Linked DNA regions of Daphnia pulex. The protein of the gene in region 2 purifies or fractionates together with the protein of the main gene of each other region. This does not show direct contact. Links are inferred from orthologs where the notes say so. Each region holds a gene or a part of one and is shown on either strand. Other genes may lie near its edges.

Region 1 (5,542 bases), on a different chromosome or scaffold from region 2:
ATCTTCTCATTGAACTTGTGTGGTCGTGGACTGAAAACGGAAATACTTGGATTAGAACAATTTCAATTTAATGCCACCCAAAATTAAACTTACAAGAATTTCGGTGTCTGGCCCGGTTCTGTGACATATTCCCAGAAGGAGACGGAGCCGTCGGAACTAGTCGAAGCCAGGTAACGGACGGAACCTCTATCGGCGGGACAAAAGTTGATGGAAGTGATTGTACCTCCATGACCAGTCAACACTGCAATCTGCAAAAATATTGAACGATTACAATTGAAATGCGCTAAAAATGATCAATAAATTTATGCACTTACAGGTGCAGTAGTGCGAAGGCACCACACGCGGACAATTTTGTCACACGATCCGGCAGCCAGTAGCGTGTTGTCGCAACTGACAGCGAGATCGGCAATCTCAGCTGAGGCACCGCGTAAAGTAGCTAACAAGCGACCCGTAACAACACTCCATATTTTGATCAATAAATCATCAGCTCCCTGCAAGTAATTGATTTAATATTTAATAAAATTTATACTTCAATAATGAAGATATCCAACACACCGTAAAAATATATTGGCCGGTCCGATCAAAAAGGACGCAATAGACAGCTGAAAGGTGGCCGAGAGTGCGGCAAAACAGTTGAACACGGCTATAAAGTTTAGCGGGTGTTGCACTCTGTGTGTCAATAGCTCCCGTAAACTCACGACCCAACAACAAGGGCACTTTGCGATACAATAAAATAAAATCAAGTCATTATCCTTTAAAATTATAACAATAATAATCTATTTTACCATTATTAGGTGGGTGGGCGATGTCATGCGGAAACAACCGTGGTCTTTTGTTCTGACGAACAACATAATGCTCGCGATGGAGCTTCCTGATGATATCTGAATATAATAATTTAAAAAAACGTTAATTATCTGAAATTGCTTGATAAAAACTATTTGTTCTTTACCCTCTTTGCGACGGAGGATTGACTGTCGTCCGGCGCCCAATAATGAGTGAACACCTTGGACATTGGTCGGCACTTCTTTGTCTACCAAGGGACCTAATCGCCTACACAATTCCAACAAGTGGTTGGGACCAACATGTGAGAAACTTTGGCACTAAATAAGTGAATCAGGAAAAAAAAAAACATTAAAAACCTATAATTTAAAATGATTAAAATTTCACCGATTTCCGGCTTACATCCGCATAGATGTACACTATGGATATATTTAGCGTGTCTCGGGTATAGCTTGGCTATGGCTTTTAGTCTCGACCAATGAGAGTCGAGCTTTGATCATGAGAATATAGCCCGAGGGGCGTGTGCTCTCTCCTGTGCTCGCGAGTCTTTTCTCGTGCGCAGGGTCCGCCATGTTTCCCCTTTCGGGGGACAACAGAGAGAACCGTAACGGCGCAAAAAAGTATCTTCGTTCCGAGCTGAGCATTTCAGAATTAATTTCTCGAGAATCCCTCCCCCCCTCCTCTCTTACTTTCTCATTCGCTTTCTAGTTTGATGTTTCCCATAGAATAACCGTAGACAAGATTTGTTTTTCACGTCACCATGACTCAACTGAAACCACCACGTACTTGCGATTGACAATTCAACTTAAAAATGATGAATGAAAACTTACCACTTGGGCATAAGTTTGATCGTGTTCATTCCCGAGCCAATCGATCCTTTTCGGTAACAACTGAAAATGATAAAATGGAAAATGAATCTTAGAGTCGAAAAACGGGATCATTGATCGGTTCGGCGACAGATAATGGGACAAGAAACAAACCAATAAGATTTAAATAGAAACAAAACTAAAAATAGGCATCATTTCAGGTGTATGTAATGTTTTGGTGGATGGAAAAGCACGTGCAGTCCACGTTGCGACGCGGACTCGAACGGACGGACCCTTTACACTTGTCTGTATGTGAAAACATAGGCAAGGTCAAAGTATTGCTATGCACTCACCCCATGCATCTCCAACTCCCGTTGCAGCGCCTAGGTCCATCGGCGGATCACACGAACGAGACAAAAAGACGAGTCAGTTTAGCCAAACTCAATTCGATTCAAACAATCATAATGATGAAATATCACCTCAGAAGCATTTTGGCAAGGCCCATGGCTGAGTAATCGGGCGATCAAGAAGTAGAGTTCTGTGAGAAGGCGACCAAACAAGGGGAGGGCAAACAGAGAGTTTCACTCGCCATTACAAATATGTTCTACACTCTACATGTTTTCCAATCTTACCTGCTGTCACAGAAGAAGGTCCATCACTTTGTCTACTTTGATTTGCGTAGGGTTTGATGTCCATTTTGCATAAACTTAAACGAAAACTGAGAGAACCACACACACTTATACACACACACACAAGTTCGACATGTCTCGTTCCCCTTAGAACAGAACAGCCATTGGGTTCTTGTCTGCTACTGCTATACTCTCTCCCCGTACCCAGAGGCGATTCAATATGACAAGGCAATATCGGATGAATAACGAATTCACCCTATCCTTCAAACTCGACTATTACAATTGAAATATTTAAACGTACGTGATTGAATACAGCTCATTCCGCTACATAGTTCTAATGAGTCTTTATAGGAATTTATATAATTTTTTTACAAAAAAAAAGAAAAGAAAAACGGTTACAACGGCGGAGGGATACAATGTAGTATTAAACTCTTGCTGAGGTGGTCCTAATTCTTGTTTTTATTTTTCTCATTGAATGAGCGGAGGTGATGAAACATGAAATGAAAGTTACAGAACTTTTCTTTGACGTTTGAGAATTTTTACGTTAAAAATAAACTGTTAGACATTGTCATTTAACAAATTTTCAATCATGAAACGATCGGCTTCTGATGATGATGGAGCCGGAACAACAAAGAAACAATTCTTTTCTGGTAACGCGAAGAATGGGTCTCTTGTTTTTCCAAAGTATTTTGTTTAATGTATTTTTTGGCTCTGTAGGGTCTTTTCCAGGTCAAACTTCAACTACTGTCTATCACGTGGGGGAATTGCATAATGAAAAAGAGGTGAAAAGAGCAGGACCTTTTGTCATAGGGCCTAGACTGGGAAACTCTCCTGTCCGCAGCATTACACAATGTTTGGCAAGGAGATCAAAAACCGATGAATTTTACACACTCAAAGTGGGTTAGCAATAGCAATAGCGATATTTTATGTCCACAATTTTAAATAATTATTTTTTAGATGCTTATAATGAAAACCCTTAATGAAGAAACTCAGGATGAAAAACAGGGGAAAATGTTGCTGTTAACAGAATATAGTCTCTTGTCCCTTCTGCATGATCAACCTGGAGTCATCCATCACCATGGGTTTTTTAAAGTATGATGTCATCAATCAATCTAGTCTCCTCAAGTGTTAACACAACATTCAAATTAATTCAGGATTTGGCCTATGAGGAACAAGAGCTTCGAAATGGAACTGTAGTCATTACTGGGAAGAAAGTTAAGAGGCTAAATCTTGTTCTTGATTGCCTCTCACCCAATGACTTTTGTCCCCACTCCCACAACTATGTCAATCTCCAGCAGTATGTCATCAAGGAGAAAAAGTTGACTGAGCAAGAAAGCCTTTGGATATTTAGGGAAATTGTATCTGTTGTCAACAGCCTTCACCAGGTAGATATAGTGTTTTTAATATTTTTATCAAGAATTTCATTATTAAAATGAATCCGTTTGTATGTAATTATAGAGGAACATTGTCCACAGAGATTTGAAACTGGGGAATTTAGTGTTGAATCGCCAAAACCGTCGTATAACGCTCATCAATTTCTGTCTGGGAAAGCACCTAGCCAACGAGGAAGATCTGTTACGAGATCAGCGAGGATCTCCAGCTTACATTTCTCCAGACGTTTTAAGCGGCAAACCGTATTTGGGTATGTAACTTTTTCTTTCTTCTTGATAGACGTTTATTAAATTTACTCTTGGATACAGGAAAGCCTTCTGATATGTGGGCTCTTGGTGTAGTTTTGTTTACTATGCTCTATGGTCAGTTTCCATTCTACGATTCGGTGCCTCAGGAGCTCTTCCGAAAAATAAAAGCGGCCGACTTTACCATTCCAAGGTTTGATGAAATAAAATCTGAATTCTTAAAATAATTTTAAAAACCTAACTTGATGCAAATCTAGAGATGGCCGTGTTTCAGACAGTACAACTCGTCTGGTTCAAAAATTATTGAATCTGAATCCTCACCAAAGACTAAAGGCCCACCAAGTAGTCCATGCTCTAGATTCTACTATAGCCACAGGGAATCTTCCATCTTCATCACCTGAACGATCATTGTTACAGGTTTGTGTCAAACTCATAAAAATTTTCATTAAGTTAATGATCAATTTGATTACTTTTGGGCTGTAGGTTGTCCCCGATATTGATTCTGATCAACTAGTCGAAGAAATAGAGACCATAGCAGCCAACCTTCCTCGAGGGGTATCGGAATTTGAAAGTGTTTTGCAACGTCTTCATGTAAAAACAAAATATTCAGTTCTAATTAATAACGGAAACCAATATATATTTGATTTTCTAGGCAATTGAGGAGTCAACAGGTAGTCTTCTGGCATACCATTCAGTCACTGTTCCTGGATTAAGTCCATTTCAAGTGGTCAAAAAACATGGAAACTCTAGTGCTCATCATGCTCATTTAAATCTCCTCTCTTCACTCGGTCGCCAACAAGGATCCATTCGAGCTTTAAGTACCGAACAGATGAATCGTTATCGGCACTTGTTACCTCCACGGATGATGACTCCCCATCAACAATTCCATGAAGGAACCAGCGCCACCGCTGTCCAAAGAATAGCTTCGTTTTCTTCTTATGTCGCCCAGAGCCCGCCGTCCTCTTCCTCTTTACCTCAATCCGCGCAATCATTACGTAAGGAATCTCATTATAATAAATTGCAAGTAATTGTTCTAATATTGAGTTTTGTATTTTAAGGAGTGGTGAACCCTGCATTTTTCCCACCCAATTTTCTTACTCAACGATTGCAGCAACTGCAACAACAACAACAACATGCGCAACAACAGCCTCCGGCTCCGGCTCCGGCTCCTTTAGCTTCAATCAATGGCACTCGTCGAATCGCTATCGACTCTCCGATCTCTTCGTCATCTCGACAGGAAGACCCATCTGAAGAGCCGGATTGAAAGCTTATACATCGCTGTGATTCTAATTGCTCTAAATAATCCCGCCAAGCTTCATAGTCTTGATACAAAGCCAAACGTACGCTTGTTTTCTGGAGTGACCATTCCAGCTGAAAGTATTTTATAATATCATTTATAAATTTTCAATAAAACAAACTAGTGTGTAAACATTTTATTTTGGTACTTTTGTACCACAATAATCATTACTAATAGCCGTAGAAATTCTTGAAAGGTTTGTTTAGGGACCAAGACTTGTAAAAGTTCATATAACCGTTGGGGTTGGATGGGATTGGATTGGATGGAATTGGATTGGATGGGACGCATAATCCAGTTTTGGTGTTGTATAGATAACCGTCAGGACAGTGTGGAATTGCTATTCCTCCGGGTTGCGCTTCGTTTCTGCCAGGTGGACCAGGAGGGCCAGGAGCG
Region 2 (6,352 bases):
AAAATAGTATCGGCAAGAGCAACAGTCCAGTGAACGGCGGAAATTCTCTGTTGGCTCGACCCCGAGTTCCTTTTGGTGAAGTTAACCGTCCTTCGTTGGCTTCCCCTCGTCTTCAATTGCAACACAAACAAAGGCATGTTGTGCGAACCGAAATCCTTCAGCATCAACAGCGGTATTGCAACAAAAACGACTAATCTATTGTCCCTTTTATCTTCGAAAACAAAGAAAATTTCAACCCCGTTTGATACAAGTGTAGCTCGTGCACAATAAAATCAAATTTAATTCCATCATTTATATATTTCAACTATCGACAAAAAGTGATTCCTACACAAGTAGAGTCACAAGGTCTATATTTAAGACAATTTGAATAAAATTCCCTTGTCTCCCATTTCTGGATTAAATCCTTTGGCGAACTTGCAGCCCGGAGTCTAAAAAGAATTACCATAGTTATATTTTTGCACAAAGTAGTGTAACAAGTAATGATTCATTTACCTCATCCATTACAGCCGCGCGCACTTTGTTATCACCTGCGCCGATAACGATTTCGTTGCAATGGATCGGTGGCACGTTTAGATGAGCCATCAAGTAATGTTGAGAGTGGGTAAACCTGAGAAAGGTAAAATGGTATTGTAAGAAGGGAGCGTAATGCTTCAAGTTGAGAAAATTTACTCTTGACGACTGTTGTTCCAATCCCACTCGTTGATGCGCCTCCAGTCCTTCATCTTTTCATCATAGACGGTGTACTGATCGAAATCTATGCGTTCAATGTCCTCAACGACGATTTCGGGATCTGCCACTTTCGACCAATCGTAAACTAGAACTTCGGCATGGGTACTATTTCATATATCAATAAACGATTTGTTAAAATACGAAAACTCTTCTGGGCTTATAATAGAGAAATACCTGATATCCTTCAAATAGTCTTTCTTGTAAGAATCTACTAGGGCTTGGAGGTAAGCAGGAGTGGTAAGCATCGAGTCCTTTTCGTTGGGTAAGTTCCTGGCCTCAATTCGTCGACGTGTTTCATCAACAGGAACGTCCAGATAGATGACCAAATGAGGTCGCCACAGTGCAAACAGTGCATTGTTTCTCACTTGGTGGTAGAAGTTGTAAACTATATGGAAATGTTAATTTAATATTTTTAGCTGTTCTCTTCCATAACAAATAATAGGATACAGAGTTGAAAATCGTACCATTTTTGCTGATTACACCAGTTTCCGTCATGGCAGTCATGTAAGCAAGGTCACTGAACGGAGAACGATCCATGACGACTCCTTGTCCTGTATTCAGAATGTGAGCCAAAGCCTCCAAATGAAGTTTATAACGGAGGGAAAGCTTTGTTAGTTGGAAACGCGCAGCTTTGGAACCATTTCCCCGCATAGGGTCTTTCAAGAAATCGTTCTCATCATAACTCTTACAAGATTCTGGCAGTTTGTGATCTACTTGTCTTAGATCATAACCATATTTATTAATGTAGCAATCTGCTACATTTGGCGATGGAAAGTATGCCATATCCAATTCTTCAGCCAACTCTTTGGCTAGAGCCCTTTTCCCAGCAGCAGGTGGCCCTTCAACAACAATCAACTTTGAATTCTCATCTAATCGGCTGGTGGTGGGATCAAACAAAGCTCGTAAAAAGTTGTATCTCTTTTCCTTGTATGGGAATGGAGCTGGCTTTTTAACAGGGGGCAATCCTTGGCGCATTACTTTTCCAGAGATAGAACGCTGTCCTACTGTAATCACACATTGTTGTTGTTTCCTTGCTATGATGACAACACTTCCGCATAGCTTTGGAGAAGACACTCTGCTGAAGAAGACCATCTTGTATCGTTTTAAAGAAGCAAGTTATTCTTTACCAATCTGGTTAAACCCTGCAAACAATCAAAAACATTTAATATTTAACAAATTGCACTCCACATTTCTACTACAGCACATTAAATACAAACAAATTTAACTCTAATTTAATAATGAGTTGGAAGCAACGAAAACGAAAGTAGGCATGGACAGTTTGAAACTACCTCAAAGTTACGAAAATGCTATTAAATACTCAATTTGTACCGAAACAGTTAGTTTTTAAATTATATTAAGCAACCATAACATAATAATGAAAATAGTGTTTTTCTTTTACCAGACGGCCATGTAAAATTTTCTTTACCTTTCCTTCTGGACCGCCAACGTTGCCTTGCAGAAAGAACAATCTTAACAATGAATAAAAATATAATCAATATTTGTCCGATTGGCTAGAATAAAATTAAAATAAAATAAAGAAATGTGTAAATTTTAAAAATCTAATAATCTATACATTTTTGATTTGCTGTCATAACTTGGCAACTGAGTGAGTTTAGTTTGATATTCCAATATGGCGGCATCCATAACGCAAGTGTTCCGTGTCAACTCTTGTCGGCTATTGTACTGTAATCGTTTTTCCAAGGTCGCTTTCCCAGCATTCTCTACTCAGGCCACAAATCTTAAGGTGAATAATACTGAAGTTTCGCTATCGAATTTTGCATATCAATAACACGTAAATCTTGTACAATCTTAGAAAGGTAAAGGCCTGATTTTGGGAGGCTATTCTTCCAAGAAGACCGAAACCGACGTCGACTCTACAAAAGATTTCATTTGGACTCAGGCGGCTAAAAGTTTCAATGATCAAGTGGCCAATCGCTTAAACGATGCGTTGAACTGGTAAGCCCATCCAATAAGTCTTGATTCAATCAAAATTAGGTTTGATGTCAGACATATGTTGTGCATTCAGCAGCTAATCTGACCTGAAATTCTTTATAATGATAGAAACAAACAGAAAATTCTGACTTGTTTGTGATGTGTTTCAGGTCAGATCATCTGTAAATGTGACATACGAAAATTCAAAGCCTGAAGATGGCAGGCCGTGGGGTTAAGAGGGGTCCCCAGTCTCTTCTGTTTGGGGGTGTAAAGGACACGTATGAAGACAGAGATAGTGATCTTCTCTGCCCGGTCTGCTTGGATATGATGTCGGAACCTTACGTGACTACATGTGGGCACAGCTTTTGCCATGGATGTATTGTCAGAAGTCTGGAGTTAGCGAGCAAATGTCCCAAGTGCAGCGGTCCCCTCGACAGTAGTGGCCGAAACCCATCCGTTTTCCCCAACGTAACCCTCAACGCATTAATAACCAAACAGAAGAAGAAATTAGTCGAGAGTCAAGATGGAAATATTTTGATGAAAGACTTTACTACTCTGTTGGATACTCGGGATTGGCATCCATCAGAATTAGTTCGCATGCAAGAAGTTTTGCTTCGGAAACAATGTGATCTTGATGGAGAACGAAAACTGACCGAAGCCCAGCTACTTAACGAATTCCTCCAACAGCTCAAAACCAAGAAGAACAACGAGTTGAGAAATGTTCAACAAGAACTAGAGGTGCTTGACAAGGATTTAAATATGGCGCAAACCCTAAATCCTGGCATCGATTCTGCTGCAATTAAAGTGGAAAATTGTGAAGTCAACGAGACGGCCTTCAATTCATCCATCGCGTCCACACCGTTAAGCATCAGTCAACGTCGTGTAAGAATGCACCAACATTTCGAAGATTTAGAGGGGAAATACTGGGCACTTCGGAACAATCGTCTCGGTGGTGAGGAAGAAGAAAAGAAAAGTTTACTCGACTTTCAATCTAATTTGAACCAGTTAACGCGATGGAGTAGACTAAGGCCTTTGGCTAATTTGAGCTACGGAAGCGAACTCCTCAACACGGCACACATTGTCAGCTCGATCGAATTCGACCGAGATGCTGATTTTTTCGCCATCGCTGGTGTGACCAAACGCATCAAAGTGTACGACTACGCAGTGGTTGTACGGGATGCGGTTGATCTTCACTATCCTGTTATGGAGATGGTGGCGGGCTCGAAGATATCGTGCATATCTTGGAGTGCCTACCACAAATCGGTTCTGGCAAGCTCCGACTACGAAGGCAGCGTATCCGTTTGGGATGCGTCCGTCGGTACTCGTCTGAGGGTCTTTCAAGAGCACGAGAAACGCTGTTGGAGTGTCGATTTTAATCGCATGGACAGTCACTTGATGGCCAGTGGCAGCGACGATTCCCGAGTCAAAATCTGGAGCTTAAACGCTGAACACTCTGTGGCCACTTTGGAAGCTAAAGCCAATGTCTGTTGCGTCAAATTCAATCCGTACTCGCGTTATTGCTTAGCCTATGGCGCAGCCGATCATTGCGTCCATTACGTCGACCTACGTCAGCCCAAGGAGCCACTACGGGTCTTTAAAGGCCATCGCAAAGCCGTCTCTTACGTCAAGTTTCTTAGTGATCGCGAATTAGTGTCGGCCAGCACGGATAGCCAATTGAAATTGTGGACGGTTGAAGACAACGTTTCATGTCGATCTTTTCGCGGACACACAAACGAGAAGAACTTTGTGGGCCTTTCGACGACGGACGGCAGCCAAGACGATCGACGTGATTTGATTGCTTGCGGTTCGGAAAATAATGCCCTTTACCTCTACTCGAAGGGACTCAGCCAGCCTTTACTTCATTATCGTTTCGACGTTGTTAAAAGCGCTTTGCTATTGGACAAGGAGCGGGCCGAGCAAGAAGAGAGCGCCGAGTTTGTTTCTGCCGTTTGTTGGAAACCCGACTCCAACGTAATCGTCGCTGCCAACAGCCAGGGAACTATAAAAATTCTCGAACTGGTTTAGGGTGGTAATTTTATTGTCAATTCCCATCATCATCCATTTTGCGAATTTTCTATTTGGTTCTGGGTTGTCATTCCCCAATGACTTGAATGCTGTGTTCTGCCAAAACGTGATTCCCCTGTTGTGCCTAATCTTCATTTAAATTTTATCCTGCAAATACAGTTGTGAATTTCCTTTGACTATATTTTTCATTTTTTGTCGTTGTTATCCCCGTGTTTATTTCCCCTATCCCGTGTCCTCTTTCAATTCCAATCCCACAGGAGTGGAGTACCGAAGAAAGGCAAAGCTCGAGTGCTGTACGGACTAGATCGTGAGTTTCCGGCTGTAGCCGTCGTCAATTTGGGCCCAAATCCTTTGGATGATTCCACCATTTTCCAAAAAGAAAATATCTTGGAGGAGAGAGACACAGCCAGGGAGAATCTAAGATGCGGAATTGCAGGCACCTTATACTTGTCTAAAATCTTTTTTTTTTTTTCTTTTCTTAATGAATCGTATCTTGCAGCTGGTGTGAAGGCCTTGCAAGAAGTTGGAATTGAAATTGTTTCAGTCGACCCTTGTTCTGATGCCGAATGCGCTGCTGAAAGTGCCTCCCTGACCCGCTGGCAGTTTCAAGATTTGAAAAATGCCGCCAAACGTAAACCCGAACTCGATTTGGTATTGCACGGAAGCGATGAATATGGGTTAGCGAGAAAGAATTTAACGTAATTTTTCGACTTCGGCCTTAATTTATGTTTTGCTATTATTAAAGGGAGGCCCAGTGGGAGAGGGGTTTGACGAAAGCAGCTGGGCAGAACTTGGCCAGATGGTTGATGGAAATGCCCGCAAATCACATGACACCAACTATATTCGCTCGTCACGCAGTTGATTTATTGGGTCGTGCAGGAGGAGACGGAGTATCAATCAAAGTTGAAGCTCATGACGAAGCGTGGGCTTCCAACCAAGGAATGAATTCGTTTTTGGCAGTGGCTCAAGGATCTAGCGAGCCACCCGTTTTCCTTGAAATCACCTACAACAATCTACCAAGCAAAGAGAAGCCAATAGTCATCGTCGGTAATATCCTATTTCTTTTTTTTATATAGGATCATAGAAAGGCGACACTTATAACTTTTTTTTCGATGAATGGGGATAGGCAAAGGAATCACTTTTGATACCGGAGGTATCAGTATCAAACCTTCAGCCAATATGGATAAAATGCGTGGGGATATGGGCGGAGCTGCCTGCACTTTGGCCACCATTCTTACTGCTGCAAACCTCAGATTGCCTCTTCACCTTAAAGGTCTTTAGACGAATGACAAATTCTTTTCAAGCTGCTACAATTCTTATTTGATGTTTAGGATTAATTCCCCTAGCCGAGAACATGCCGGGTGGAAAGGCCATTAAACCAGGTGATGTAGTGAAAGCCATGAATGGCAAGACGATCCAAATTGATAACACGGATGCAGAGGGTCGACTTATCCTGGCTGATGCACTTGCTTATGCTCAACAAACATACCAACCCAATCTCGTCCTGGATATTGCCACATTGACGGGTACATTTTCAAAACATTTTCGTCGGCTAATCATGTTAAAACTGTTTGGTTTTGCTTCGTTGGTAGGTGCCATCAATGTTGCTCTTGGCAGCTCTGCGGCTGGGGTTTTCACTAATTCCAACGCCTTATGGCATCTCGTT

Evidence for each region. The genes of interacting proteins can lie anywhere in the genome.
Region 1: the proteins of E3 ubiquitin-protein ligase COP1-like (region 2) and serine/threonine-protein kinase 40-like purify together in Homo sapiens (affinity purification with mass spectrometry; 3 studies listed by BioGRID and IntAct, counting the BioPlex papers as one, with this or other methods). This does not show direct contact. The link is inferred for Daphnia pulex from reciprocal best matches to the Homo sapiens genes COP1 and STK40.

What each region holds. Positions count from the first base shown.
Region 1 is NC_060027.1:4,337,837-4,343,378, reverse strand, and holds serine/threonine-protein kinase 40-like, read left to right. Parts: upstream 1-2,631; 5' UTR 2,632-2,804; coding exon 2,805-2,865; intron 2,866-2,932; coding exon 2,933-3,111; intron 3,112-3,172; coding exon 3,173-3,307; intron 3,308-3,369; coding exon 3,370-3,600; intron 3,601-3,673; coding exon 3,674-3,857; intron 3,858-3,915; coding exon 3,916-4,045; intron 4,046-4,109; coding exon 4,110-4,269; intron 4,270-4,335; coding exon 4,336-4,443; intron 4,444-4,504; coding exon 4,505-4,847; intron 4,848-4,910; coding exon 4,911-5,116; 3' UTR 5,117-5,281; downstream 5,282-5,542. Other genes in the region: PH-interacting protein-like, read right to left, coding at 1-30, 94-248, 315-491, 556-716, 786-881, 950-1,100, 1,611-1,670, 1,940-1,969 and 2 more; cuticle collagen 1-like, read right to left, coding at 5,320-5,542. UniProt on the Homo sapiens protein: May be a negative regulator of NF-kappa-B and p53-mediated gene transcription.
Region 2 is NC_060028.1:8,376,093-8,382,444, forward strand, and holds E3 ubiquitin-protein ligase COP1-like, read left to right. Parts: upstream 1-2,685; intron 2,686-2,831; 5' UTR 2,832-2,877; coding exon 2,878-4,686; 3' UTR 4,687-4,862; downstream 4,863-6,352. Other genes in the region: uncharacterized protein LOC124208543, read left to right, coding at 1-194; NADH dehydrogenase [ubiquinone] 1 alpha subcomplex subunit 10, mitochondrial-like, read right to left, coding at 354-428, 493-607, 670-834, 904-1,114, 1,194-1,821. UniProt on the Homo sapiens protein: E3 ubiquitin-protein ligase that mediates ubiquitination and subsequent proteasomal degradation of target proteins.